Linked DNA regions of Zea mays. The protein of the gene in region 1 interacts with the protein of each later gene in a pairwise test. Links are inferred from orthologs where the notes say so. Each region holds a gene or a part of one and is shown on either strand. Other genes may lie near its edges.

What was found. The genes of interacting proteins can lie anywhere in the genome.
Region 2: the proteins of PGP1 (region 1) and Peptidyl-prolyl cis-trans isomerase FKBP42 interact in a two-hybrid assay, tested with the Arabidopsis thaliana proteins (2 studies listed by BioGRID, with this or other methods). The link is inferred for Zea mays from reciprocal best matches to the Arabidopsis thaliana genes ABCB1 and TWD1.

What each region holds. Positions count from the first base shown.
Region 1 is NC_050096.1:206,629,708-206,636,212, forward strand, and holds the start of PGP1, read right to left. Parts: upstream 4,318-6,505; 5' UTR 4,242-4,317; coding exon 3,638-4,241; intron 3,495-3,637; coding exon 2,858-3,494; intron 2,763-2,857; coding exon 2,452-2,762; intron 1,839-2,451; coding exon 1,609-1,838; intron 1-1,608. UniProt on the Arabidopsis thaliana protein: Brassinosteroid exporter that, in conjunction with ABCB19, supports the accumulation of exogenous brassinosteroids (BR) in the apoplast, thus promoting BR signaling initiation involving the specific receptor BRI1 and required for plant growth and stress responses.
Region 2 is NC_050097.1:149,009,583-149,015,954, forward strand, and holds Peptidyl-prolyl cis-trans isomerase FKBP42, read right to left. Parts: upstream 4,251-6,372; 5' UTR 4,111-4,250; coding exon 4,044-4,110; intron 3,732-4,043; coding exon 3,552-3,731; intron 3,240-3,551; coding exon 3,150-3,239; intron 2,754-3,149; coding exon 2,569-2,753; intron 2,420-2,568; coding exon 2,297-2,419; intron 2,218-2,296; coding exon 2,065-2,217; intron 1,620-2,064; coding exon 1,293-1,619; 3' UTR 1,112-1,292; downstream 1-1,111. UniProt on the Arabidopsis thaliana protein: PPIases accelerate the folding of proteins. It catalyzes the cis-trans isomerization of proline imidic peptide bonds in oligopeptides.

The DNA of each region.
Region 1 (6,505 bases):
TGTCTCTCATCAAATAAACCAGTACTCCTCGTCCAGACGTAATTAATAAATAAAAATTGAATTGTTAATAAAATAATAAGTCTTATTCCCTGACGGTGGAGAGTGTTTGAGTTTGACCAGGGATGATGCATGCATGGGCATGCGAGCATTGCTTGGCAAGGAATCATGATCAAGTCAGTTATAGTTATGGGAGTGTGAGTCCGTGTTCTAATAAAATCTAGCCGCTAGTTATGCTAGTACAGTACATATGGCCCCATCCCATGTGGCCTCTAGATTTCGTCTGATTTGATTTGGTTTGATTAAACCCTTCCCAGATGTTATTAACTAACCAGACTGCCTGCCTGCCTGCCATTTGACAGTGATTAAAATAAGCAGCAGCATGGGTTTGACTGGCTCTCTTTCTCAGATGACAGTTTATAATAACAGTTTATGTAAGATACCTACCCTACCACTAGTAGCACAGTAGTAAGTAGAGTAGCAAGAGCTGGGGTGGACAGACACAGACAGGCTGAGTCTGAGTGATTGATAATTCTTGCTTGCACTAGGATCAAAAATCAACTTGACATTCCCGACAAAATACCAACTCGGAATTTGTTCCGTTTCACTCCCCCAACTCCTCCCATACTTCTCATACTCTAGATTCCTAGGGATTGTACCTCTTCCTACGTACCCCAGGTTGATTCTTAATCCTGCTACTACTTTTTATTATTATTAACATTTTTTTCTCTCTCACTCTAGATGTTCATCGTCCATTCATCCTCTGCACTCATCAGCAAGTGCTAGTTTAGTAGAGGCTGTAGAGCTTGTGTCGAGAAAAAGGACCTCTCCTGTCCTGTGCGTGATAGCAAAGCATCCTGGCATGTTACTTGTTGGCAACCCACAGCAGCAAATGCGATGGCAACAGGCGCCTAACAATTGCCCTCCCGTCCTAGTCTACAACAGGCATCTATGTCTATGTGATGGACCCCGACCCCTCTTCCATGGCGTTGGTGGTGGTGCTGCCGGCTGTCATGAGCTCATGTGCAGCTGCCGCGGCCTAACAAACACGAACAGTATCTGATCTGAGGCTAGCTACTAAAGCTTTAGCCCCGGGCAGGCACGAGCGCAGAGTGCGCGACGCATGAGTGAGTGGAGTGGAACGGATGGATGACTTGACGCTGCATACACACCTTCAGTCCCTCGTGACATGAGGAAAAGAAAAGGCTGCGTGCAGATGATGGGGGAAAAAAAGATGCTCCCTTTGCGCTTTTAGAGTGAGTGCATGCATTTTTAGGTTTGGAATAAAAAAGATCGCTGTAAAGACGTAATCATAGTATTTGTGAGAAGAGAGAAAGTAAAAAAAACAACAACAACAACTGAAGTTAGGTTGTCTCGTAGCTAAAGATGCATTTATTCTAAGATAAGCTTTAAACTCTAGAAATGTATTTGATATAGTATTAGAGTGAGTTGCATAAGGTTGGACAGGGAAAGCAGATGTGGAGCAGCTAGGCAAGCAGGCACGTGTGGTCCAGACACCGACAAGTGGATTGGAGAGCAACAGGCAGCAACGGTGGGGAGCAAGCGAGAGAAGTGGCAGTGCAGCTAGTGAGCTAGCTATACGGGACGGACCTGCGTGTCGTAGCCGTCGGGGAGTTTGATGATGAAGGAGTGGGCGTTGGCCACCCTGGCCGCCTCCTCCATCTCCGCCAGCGTCGCGCTCTGGCTGTCCCGCCCCAGCAGCAGGTTCTCCCTGATGCTCGTCGCGAACAGCGCCGGCTCCTGGCTCACCAGCCCGATCTGCCGCCGCAGCCACCGCAGCTCCAGCGACCTGAGGTCGTGCCCGTCCAGCAGGATTTGCCCTGCCAAAACCGAATTGCAGACTTCATCTCGTTCTTCTTCTTTTTTTGTCTGAAAAAAAAATCTACAGGGCTACTATATATATCTATCTATACTGTCAACAGCACAACTGAACCACTTCTCACTGAGCAGTCGGTCAATGGCAGGCATGTGCTAGGCAACAGTAGCATCTTGCCAGGCAACAAATAGTTTTCTTTGTCCCGCGTTGCAGGCACACCCACCTAGCTTAGCTAGCTCTTCTGCTCTGCGTGAATGTATGTATGACCACAAACAGCCACGACCAAAGAAAGTAAAAAGAAAAGCAAGAAAGAGGATGGCTGGTTCTGGTTGGCTAGCTAGCAGGTAGCAGCAGCCCATGAGGCCGGCCAGCTCTGCATGCTCCAAGCATTCACTTCATTTCCATGTCAATGTGGTGGTACAGAGTTACTGCACAATTCACTTTTGTTTGGCAATGCAATGTACAGTGGAGGCTTCTTCTAACTGCTACTGTACTAGTCTACCCAGCAATGGCAGTTGGCGAAGTATTGTTGTTGCGATGGCAATGGCGATTGGCAAGCAAGCGAACTGGACATCCTCAGATTAATGCGCTAAAAGTAGTAACAGTACTAGGTATACCTGCGCTGGGGTCGTAGAATCTCTCGATGAGCGACACCACCGTGCTCTTCCCGGAGCCGGAGCTGCCCACCAGCGCGATGGTCTTCCCGGCGGGCACGCTCAGCGAGAAGCCGCGCAGGATGGGGACGTCCGGCCGCGACGGGTACGCGAAGTCCACGCCCCGCATCTCCACCCGCCCCGTCACCGACTCTGGCTCCGCGCCGTCGCGCGAGGAGATGCCCGGCCTGTGGTCGATGATGCGGAAGATCTTGGCAGCCGCCACACGCGCCTTGGCGAACGCGGCCATGCTCGGCGCCGACTGCCCGAGGGCCCTGCACGCGATCCACAGATACCGTCAGCAGCAATGACGACGGGGGCGGGCCGAGGAGCAGCAGAAGGAGAGAGTGCGTGGTGTGGTGGGCCTTACAGTCCGCCGATCATGACGGAGAACATGGTGGCGATGGCGAGCCCGCCGTTGGTGTGCTGGGCGCGCACGAGGTGGCCGCCGTACCAGAGCAGGAGCCCGTAGCAGCAGAAGACGGTGAAGTAGGTGCCGCCGAGGCCGAGCCCCTTGGCGAAGCCGCTGCGGTAGCCGATCCTCTGCGCCACGGCCAGCGCCGCCGAGTAGGCCCGCATCTCGCGCTCCTCGCCAACGAACGCCTGCACGATCCGTATCTGCGCGAGCGCCTGCTCCGCGATGCCGCTGGCGCCCGAGAGCGCGTCCTGGCTGCGGGACGAGAGCTTGGCGAGCGCGGCGGCGCTCAGCCCGCCGATGACGGCGATGAGCGGCACCACGGCCAGCGTGACCAGCGCCAGCTGCCACGCGGCCGTGAACCCCACGACGAAGCCGGCCACGAAGGTGGCCATGTAGTGGATGAGGTTGCCCAGCTTCTCGCTGATGGCGTCCTGCACCACCACGGCGTCCGCGTTGATGGCGTAGATCACGTCCGAGGCCCGCACGTCGGTGTCGAAGAAGGACACGTCCTGCCGCAGCGCCGCGTCCAGGTACCGGATCCGCATCCGCGTCGACTGCCGCTCGCCGGTCCACATCCAGCAAGAGATCTCTGCGAGCGGGGCGAACGATTTGAACATCTCGTTTGTAGCCACGGCGATTGGCTGACCGACGTGATTTGTCATCCAATCCAAATTGACCGCCAATTCGCGACGCACACAAGCTGGGGCGGCAGGAGGAGGAGGGATAGCGTACCTGCCCACGAGGATGCCCAGATTGCCGCTCCGACGACGAGGAAGTAGAAGGCGTACTTGACGACGAGGCGGACCATGGTGTCCGGGTCGTCGGCGTGGGAGCCGAAGGAGTCGACGAGGTCGGCGAAGAAGCGGAGGAAGACGGGGAGCGAGCAGCCGTGGACGAGCGCGCCGAGGGTGCCGATGAGCATGAGCGCGCAGTCGAGGCCGTCGGCGAAGCGGAAGAGGTCGCGCAGGGCGGCGGGCGGGGTGGGCTTCTTGCTGTCATTGGCGCCGGCGGAGGCTGGCCTGGCATTGGGCGGCTGCTCGGTCTCCAGAGAAGCCGGCGGAGGGGGAGGCGAAGAAGGAGGAGGAGGAGCAGCGCCGCCACCGGCAGATGTAGTAGGCGTGTTGCTGCTGCTGCTGCTGCGGCCAGCAGGAGCAGGGAGCGTGGGTTGCTCTGCTGCTTCCGGTTGCCCGGCTAGGAAGCCAGGAGGCTGGTGGGCGGGAGACGGCAGATGGAAGGCCTCGAGCTCGGGCCGGGCCCACTCGTCGCCGCCGTCGGCATGGGGCGAACCGAGAACGACGACGCGCGCCCTGATCTCCTCCGGGTCGCTGCTAGACATGGCGAGGAGGGGAGAGGAGGGAGGGGGAGCTCCTCTGCCCCCCACCTCAGCAGAGTGGCAGAGCAAAGCAGAGGAGGTGGAGAGGGAGGAGGAGTGGATTGGTTAAGAGCTGGAGTTGCTCATCTCGCCTCTTATAATAATTGGCTTGGGAGTGTGACTGTGTGTGTGAGACCGTCAGGCTCGCTCGCTCCTCCGGTTCCCATTCCCGGCAGCTCATGTCTTTGTAGCAGTAGAAGAGTCCAACTAGTGAGAGAGACTGAATGTACGGACCCTACTTGCACAGTACTCCTACATGTACTGTGGAAAACGAATGGGAATGGATGCATGCGGCACGTTGCGTTCTATCATTTTCATCGTCACTAAAATCTAACGGCCGATAGAAAACCTGCTGCGGCGAAAAGGTCTCATGGTTAATATTTATGAGTAGTTCGATTTGTCCGAAAGTGAATTTTAGGCTTGATTAAAAAAATTCTCTCGCTGCGAGTCCTGAGTGCACTCTAACTGGACCGTTGCAAACTAGATGGTGACGGCTCACTGGTGATGAGAACTAATGTTTAGAAATTTTCTCGACAGGACCATATTTTGGTCTCTTCTTAATATAATACCGATATAACGTTTTTTAAGAAAACCTGCTGTGTATATGAGAAATTCGTTTTTCTTCCATTCACTCGGTTATGCTGCTTTTTTTACCGATGAAGTGTCGGACAACTTTAGATCTCTATATACTGTCACTCGCTAACCATCTGTTTTGGTTTTGTTGCATATGCATCCACTGTGATAAAGAATGGATAAATAAGCATCTCGCGATACGGGTTCATGTGTTTTTCCAACATTCTTACATCCCTTTGCTTGATGCATTCCAAGTGCATCATTTTTCTCTTAAAACAAATGCATCCATTCTAGAAAAAAAACTATTTTATGTAGCCTTGAGATCTACCCCGACTCAACTTATTGAAGGTGTTTGTTGAGATACGGTACGCGTTGCATAATATGTTTTGAAAGAAAGGCACCACACACATATATATATATATATATATATATATATATATATATATATATATATATATATATATATATATATATATATATATATATATATATATATATATATATATATATATATATATATAGAGAGAGAGAGAGAGAGAGAGAGAGAGGAGTTAATGAAAGTCCAGGGCTTCCATTAGTACAGGAAACCCCAGCCAGGTCCATGCGCGTCCGATCGTGTGCTAGTTCTGGCTCGGGCGAATTCTAGCGTAAAACGTGAGCTAAAACAACATAAATGAGTACGAAATTTAGCGTAAATCGTATATCTGTTTCGTAACAGCAAATGGGCCCCGAAATTACGGCGTGTAAATCGCGTGCGTCCGATCGTACGCGGGTTCTGGCTCGAATGGATTTTAGCGTAAAACGTGAGCTAAAACATCATAAATGATTACGAAATTTAGCGTAAATCGTATATCTGTTTCGTAACAGCAAATGAGGCCTGAAATTACGGCGTAAAAATCGCGTGCGGCTGATCGTACGCGGGTTCTGGTTCGAATGAATTTTAGTGTAAAACGTGAGCTAAAACAACATAAATGATTACGAAATTTAGCGTAAGTCGTATATCTGTTTCGTAACAGCAAATGGACCCAGAAATTACGGCTTGAAAATCGTGTGCGGCCGATTGAGCGCGGGTTCTGGCTCGAATGGATTTTAGCGTAAAACGTGAACCAAAACATTGTAAATTAGTACGAATTTTAGAGTAAATCGTATATCTGTTTCGTAATGGCGAATGGAGCCCAAATTTACGGCGCAAAAATCACGCGCCATCGGTCGTGCGCGGATTCTGGCTCGGACGGTTTTAAGCGTAAATCGTGAACCAAAACAACGTAAATGAGTACGGATTTTAGCATAAATCGTCCATCTATTTCATAATAACGAATGTAGACCGAATGTATCTCTCAGCGCACGAGGTTGTCATAAAACGCTTCAAGAAATTTCATAAATTGGTGTAAGATACAACAAGAAGTGATCTGAGGTAATTGTAGCGTAAAATGCAAGCTAACCATCTACAGGAGAACTGTTTCGGATCTTACAATAAGATATAAGAGATAATTATTCCTGAACTCAACTATGATAATGTCGTGTTTACATTTTAGTTGTTGGTACATACACACAAAACTCTATTTCACCATAACACCACAGTTAGCAAAAAAAACTGAGTTCAAAAGGCTCTTCCAGCTTTCCTGATGTGGAGAAAATAGAGATGGCAATGGGTA
Region 2 (6,372 bases), on another chromosome or scaffold:
GCTGGAGGATTCAAAGTTGAATTACAAATTCACTGCCGTCCTCTTCCATTTGAATTATGCGAACACGCCGGCTACTTTACATGCAACGCTGAGCTGACATGGGCTGGGACGCAGCTTTCTACTGCTGTGTGCTCAGGAGGGCAGGAGCAGGACCGTTATTCAAGAAGCCCTCGGCCCAATAACACGGCACCAAGCCCGTTATTTTTGCTAAGTACGAGCACGACACAGCCTAATGTTTCACGGGTACGGCCTAGCCCGACCTGATGTATAGGGCCATCCATCAGGTACAGGGTCCAACCCGATATATATATTTTTATAGGAGTAATTCATTTCGTTAAACAAACTTTAAAAAGTTTGACCAAGACGGAGCAAGTAGAACAATGGAATTCTTATGATGGCAATGGCATCAGGAGCGTGTGTTCAGGGATAGGGTCTGTTTCACTAAAGAATTTGGAAAGACACATGAGGAGCGTGTCTTGTGATTTTTCACTAACAGGGTGTTTAGATCCCTTCATTTTATAGAAATTAGAATTTACTTAATAAAATAATTTATTTAGTTTGAAATTTGATATTCCAATACTTTCTAAAGTTCAGATATAGTTTATCTCAAATTTATGACGTGAAGGATGTGAAATGATTTTATGCATTAATATAATTTGTTTTTATTGTAACTTACATGACACTCTTCGTTTCACTCTTCCATAATAAATGTAGCACATAAATATCTCCGACATCTTACTAATAATAATATATAAATATATTTTACATAAACAAATTCTTTCCGATTTTCTGAACTGGAACACTTGTCTTTTGATGATGGAATCAGGAGCGTGTGTTCAGGCACGTTTTCTGAACTGGAACACTTGTCTTTTGATGATGGAATCAGGAGCGTGTGTTCAGGCACGCCGCCTGCTGCTTGCACTCAAATGTTTGTGATGCCAACATGCCATAGCAATGAACTGAGAGCCTGTGCTTTGTGCAAGCAGCTGCAGTTTCTATTGCAGCAGCATCCAACAGGAGAGTGAAATCTAGAGCTCCAGTTGTAGCAACAGTATTATTACTAGCATAATCTAAATATGAAAGCTGCAATATACAATGGCATAAAAGGCCCTTTGAGCTCCAGTTGAAAGACTGTATGAAACTATGGCATAATAGTGAACAACATCGTATAGAGTTCATAACAACTAATTGATCCGGACCGGCCGACAGTTCTACAGAAAATTCAACACTCCTTATAATACAAGGTTGGTCAATTAGGCCACCAGTTCTACACAATTTTCTGGTAAATTATCCTACTCGTTCTTCCGTTTGAACATCCCAGCCAGATAAAGGATAAATGACACCAGGCACTGCCAAAACACAACGAGGTACTTTGCCTTCTTCGGTTTCGCTTCAGGACTTGGCCCAAAGAGACCTTTGTAGAGCTCCTTCTGCTTCTGGTATAGTGCCTTGTCTTGTTCCGCGAGCAAACGGAGCTCCCGAATGATCTCCTTGTCTTCTGGGGAGTACTTCTTCGCTTTGAGGAAATCTTCCCTCGCTGATTCTGTCTGGCCAAGTTCAGATTTAGCTTTTCCTCGCCTGAACAGCGCTTTGACATTACTTTCATCTTCTGTCAAAACCTGAATAATATGTTTACAAAAAGGATAATCCATCAAATGGTAATTTTTTCGTTTGATTTTGTATCAGGACCATGGGATTGTTCACTTCATGAAACATCATGAGACCAACACCTTTTTGCAATAGAAAGGCTGGAAATGTGCAAATCAGCTGTTCGATACCTGTAATGTTGAATCTTTCATGTTGATATGAGCTTAGTTGCTACAGTTTTTTAACACCATTTAAAAAATTATCATGCTGTTACTGTCGGAACATACAATCCTGTATATTTTTTTGCTAAGGTCTATGCAAAGCCGTAAACTGTAAAAATGTTACTGTTGGAACATACAATCCTGTATAGTTTTTTGCTAAGGTCTATGCAAAGCCGTAAACTGTAAAAATGTACCCATGAATGTAAATCGTGGGTTCAAGACTGAATGTACTTATGGGCATGGTCGAGTAACATACAATGCTACACTGCGCAATAGCTTCATCGAATCTCTTTAGTTTGATCAGGCATGCAGCCATATTGAGATGGCATGGATTTTTCACAGCCAAGGCCATGTCTCTGTACTTTCCAAATAATTGAAACATGAAATCATCTCCCATGTATGCAATCGCCTGTAGAAGAGAACAGGTCGACTGAAATCAGAATATGCTGATAACTACAATAATGTCCAAAGTATAGCATGCTACTAACCATTTCATATTGCTGCATGGCCTCCTCAAGCTTCTTTTCTTTGAAATATGCATTGCCCTCAATCTTTCTCCTGTCTGCAGCTGCAATCCTCTCTTCAACTGTCATGTCACTTCGGGATTTACCCTGATTCACAGTTTATCATTATTTGGAACTTCCCACATTGAGAAAAGTAAGTAATGCTAACCAATATGAATAATCTCAGCCTACTCTTCAAAAGAATAATATAAGTGAATCATAATGTGGGGTGGAGGCAGTAGACCTTTGTTTCTTACCTCTTTAACATCATCAAATCCAATGAGTTCAACTTCATAAACAAGGTCTGCCATTGGAGGGACATTTGGGAATGAAAAACTTCCTTCTTTGCCATAGCCTAGCTCCCAACCAACATGCAACAATGCACGCTCCCCGCTTTTCATGCTGCCAACACCGATGCCTAAACCAGACATTTGTTTTTTCTCTGTTGATTGAGGAGAAAGCTTTAGAAAGTTTCCCCATAGGCAATTATCACTGATAAACACTGTTGTACAGCTGAGGTTGTCCATATGATTCTCAGGCTAGTTACCCAGTACCTGTAGGCTTACTGGCAATGCAACATAAAAAGGGTGCAAATCACAACTAACTATGTATATTTCACTCTTTCATCTTACAGCAAATTAAATCATAAATAGAAGGCATGACAGACTACTTGAAGGATAACTGGTTATATAGAATCGTAACTAAGAACCATCATTATTGTACTATAAAGGCATAATAGCATGCAATGTAAGCTGTTTGCATTCATGGAATAGATGGGTGAAATGCACGGAGCCGAGTAAAACTAAGTATAAAATAAGCGAAGTGATTGTTGTGGCACCTTTTCCAAGTACTAGTTCAATTGGATGTTGCTCTTGCCAGGTATCCTCAAATTTATGCGATGATCCTTGAACCCATGCTCTATAGTGCACTGCAACACCAAGTTTAGAAAAAGAAAAAAAAGTTAAATTCACGGCAGTTCTCATGCGTGCTAAATCAAAATCAAACTAGCGTGCAACGACTGAATTAGGCAGCTTTGGACGAAACAGGGTTAAAATCTGAAGTTTTGAAATTTGACACAACCATAAGCATCTCATGATCTTGGTCGCTCAAACGAAACACATACAAGATATCGTTGTTATAGAATAAGAAACAGGACAGGCAGGCACAGCATATTAGCTCATCCTAAAATTCGACATCCGGAGCATGAGCATATGGTCCGAACCACCTACGCCGTACTCACCAAAGCACGTCGCGAACTTCAGCGGTTTCCTGCCATGGCCTTCTTTGATGATTTGCTTCTTAACCTTGTCGTGAAGGGCCTCCATGTCAGAGGAAACCACGGGTGGGGCGCTGCCATCCTGGGGAGGTTCAGAATGCACGAAAGAAGCCTCTTCTACTGTGATCTCGTTTTCGCTGGAGCCTGAGAATCAGAAAGCAGCAGAAGTCAGAAACCGGGGAGTCTGCGTCTTGACACAGATCCCGAATCTTATCGTCTATAGCCACACTGCAATTCAGGGAAGTGTAGTGTAGTGCGGCAGGAATTGGCAAGCCGCGGGTGTGGTGGGATCCGAAACTGCCTTGTTGTAAAGTAACCGCGGCCCAAATCTCCCAAATGGCCAGAATCCCCAACAGAACGTATGAGCAAGCCACCAGCACCCGATTCACTGAGCACCAGCCAGCCACGAGTGGGGTAGGGGCGGTAGTAGTGGCCGAGCGCGAGGAGGGTACTCACCAGCGGCGGGATCGGACGCGGCGGCGGGATCTGCAGACGCCGCAGCGTCTTCTTCGACGACAGCCATGGGTTGCGGATGGGCGGGCCGCAGACGGCCGGCAGAAGCTTCTAGACTGCGGCGCGGCGGGTCGGGTAGTGAACTTGGGCGGGCCAGAGCTCGGTGACCTGCGCTCCGTAGCGCTTGCTTGATAAGCTGCGGTAGTTTGTGCTTCTGTTTTTTTAATAAAATAAATTATACATGGAGAGACGGATACAAGCCATTGCCACCCGGGGCATGATCTAAACTCATTTTAAGCCCTTTTTAATGGGTGTTTGAATGCACTGTAGATAATAGTTAGTTGGCTAAAAATTACTGTTAAAATTAACTAGCTAATAAATAACTAGTTGACTATTAGCTAATTTGCTAAAAATAACTAATTGTTGAAGTATTAGCTACTGTTTGAATGTATTTAGCTAATTATAGCAGTTAACTATTAGCTCTACTGTCTTCTAAGAAAACATAAAAACACATAACTAATCTACCTCGTTATAATTAGGTCTTGTTTAGAACCTATAGAGCTAATAGTTAGCGAGTGAATGAACTAATTGTTAGCTGTGAGATAGCTAACAATTAGTGTCGATATTAGCTGATGGTGTTTGGAACCCAACAACTAATTTTTAGTAGCTAACTATTAGTTTGAGGAGCCTTAATCACATAGAGAGAGAGAAAGATGGTAGCCTTAAACTCACAGGCGAAGCCAAAATTTGAGTTTAGAGGGGACATATCAAATTAGGAGGGGCTACTATACCAATGTATTCCTTCAATTCATCTGTATTGGAGTAATTTTATGTGAAATTTAAACTAAATTCTACACTAAACCATCTTAATACTCATTGTTGGGTACAGACACGTAGTCAGGTGGGTCCAAACAAACAGAGACTAAGGGGACGAGCTCACGTGCACGACAAGACATTTGGTAGGTGAAAGGGAAATAGAGTCAAACCTTTTACTAAATGATTTTGGTGGTTGAATTGCCCAACACAAATAATTGGACTAACTAGTTTGCTCTAGATTATAAGTTCTACAGGTGCCAAAGGTTCAACACAAACCAATAAAAAGTTCAAGATAGGGTTCAAAAAGAAAGGAGCAAAAGAAACCGAAGGCTGCCCTGGTCTGGCGTACCGGACTGTCCGGTGCACCACCGGACAGTGTCCGGTGCACCAGGGTGGATCAACTCCAACTCGCTACCTTCGGGATTCTGGAAATGTCACTCCGCTATAATTCACCGGACTGTCCGGTGTGCCAGCGGAGCAACGGCTACAGCGCAACGGTCGACTCCAACGGAAACCTGTAAAAGCGCTACAGTGCGTGGACAGAGTGCGCAGAGTCAGAGCAGCGCCAAAAGGCACACCGGACAGTGAACAGTGACTGTCCGGTGCACCACCGGACTGTCCGGTGGCCCCATCTGTCAGAGCTCCAACGGTCGAACCCTAACGGTTGGGTGACGTGGCTGGCGTACCGGACAGTATCCAGTGGTGCACCGGACTATCCGGTGCGCCCATCGACAGACAACCTCCCCAACGACCACTTTGGTGGTTAGGGCTATAAATACCCCCCAACCACCACACTTCAAGGCATCCAAGTTTTTCAGACTTCACATTCAATACAAGAGCTAGTGCAATCAATACAAGACACAAATCAAATAGAATCAAAGCCTCTCCAAGTCCCATTTCCACTCCAAGCAAATAGTGACTAGAGAGAGAGTTTTTGCTCGTGTTCTTTGAGCTCTTGTTCTTGGATCGCTTTTCTTCTTTCCATTCTTGTTCTCAACACCTTTGTAATCAAAGCAAGAGACACCAATTGTGTGGTGGTTCTTGTGGGGTCTAAGTGACCCATTTGATTGAGGAGAAAAGCTCACTCGGTCTAGGTGACCGTTTGAGAGAGGGAAAGGGTTGAAAGAGACCCAGTCTTTGTGACCACCTCAACGGGGAGTAGGTTTGCAAGAACCGAACCTCGATAAAACAAATCATCGTGTCATCCGCTTTATTTGCTTGTGATTTATTTTCGCCCTCTCTTTTGGACTCACTTTTATTTCTAACGCTAACCCGGCTTGTAGATTGTGCTTACAGTTTGTAAATTTCAGATTTGCCTATTCACCCCCTCTAGGCGACTTTCAATTGGTATCAGAGCCCGGTACTTCATTAAGAGTCTAACCACTCGAAGTGATGTCGAGAGCATCCGCCAAGAGGGAGATCGGGACCGGCGGCGACCCATTCGCTAAGAGGGAGCATCCGCAAGCTCGGGGAGAACCCATTCGAGGGAGTCCGCCCACAAGCACAAGGAGGAATC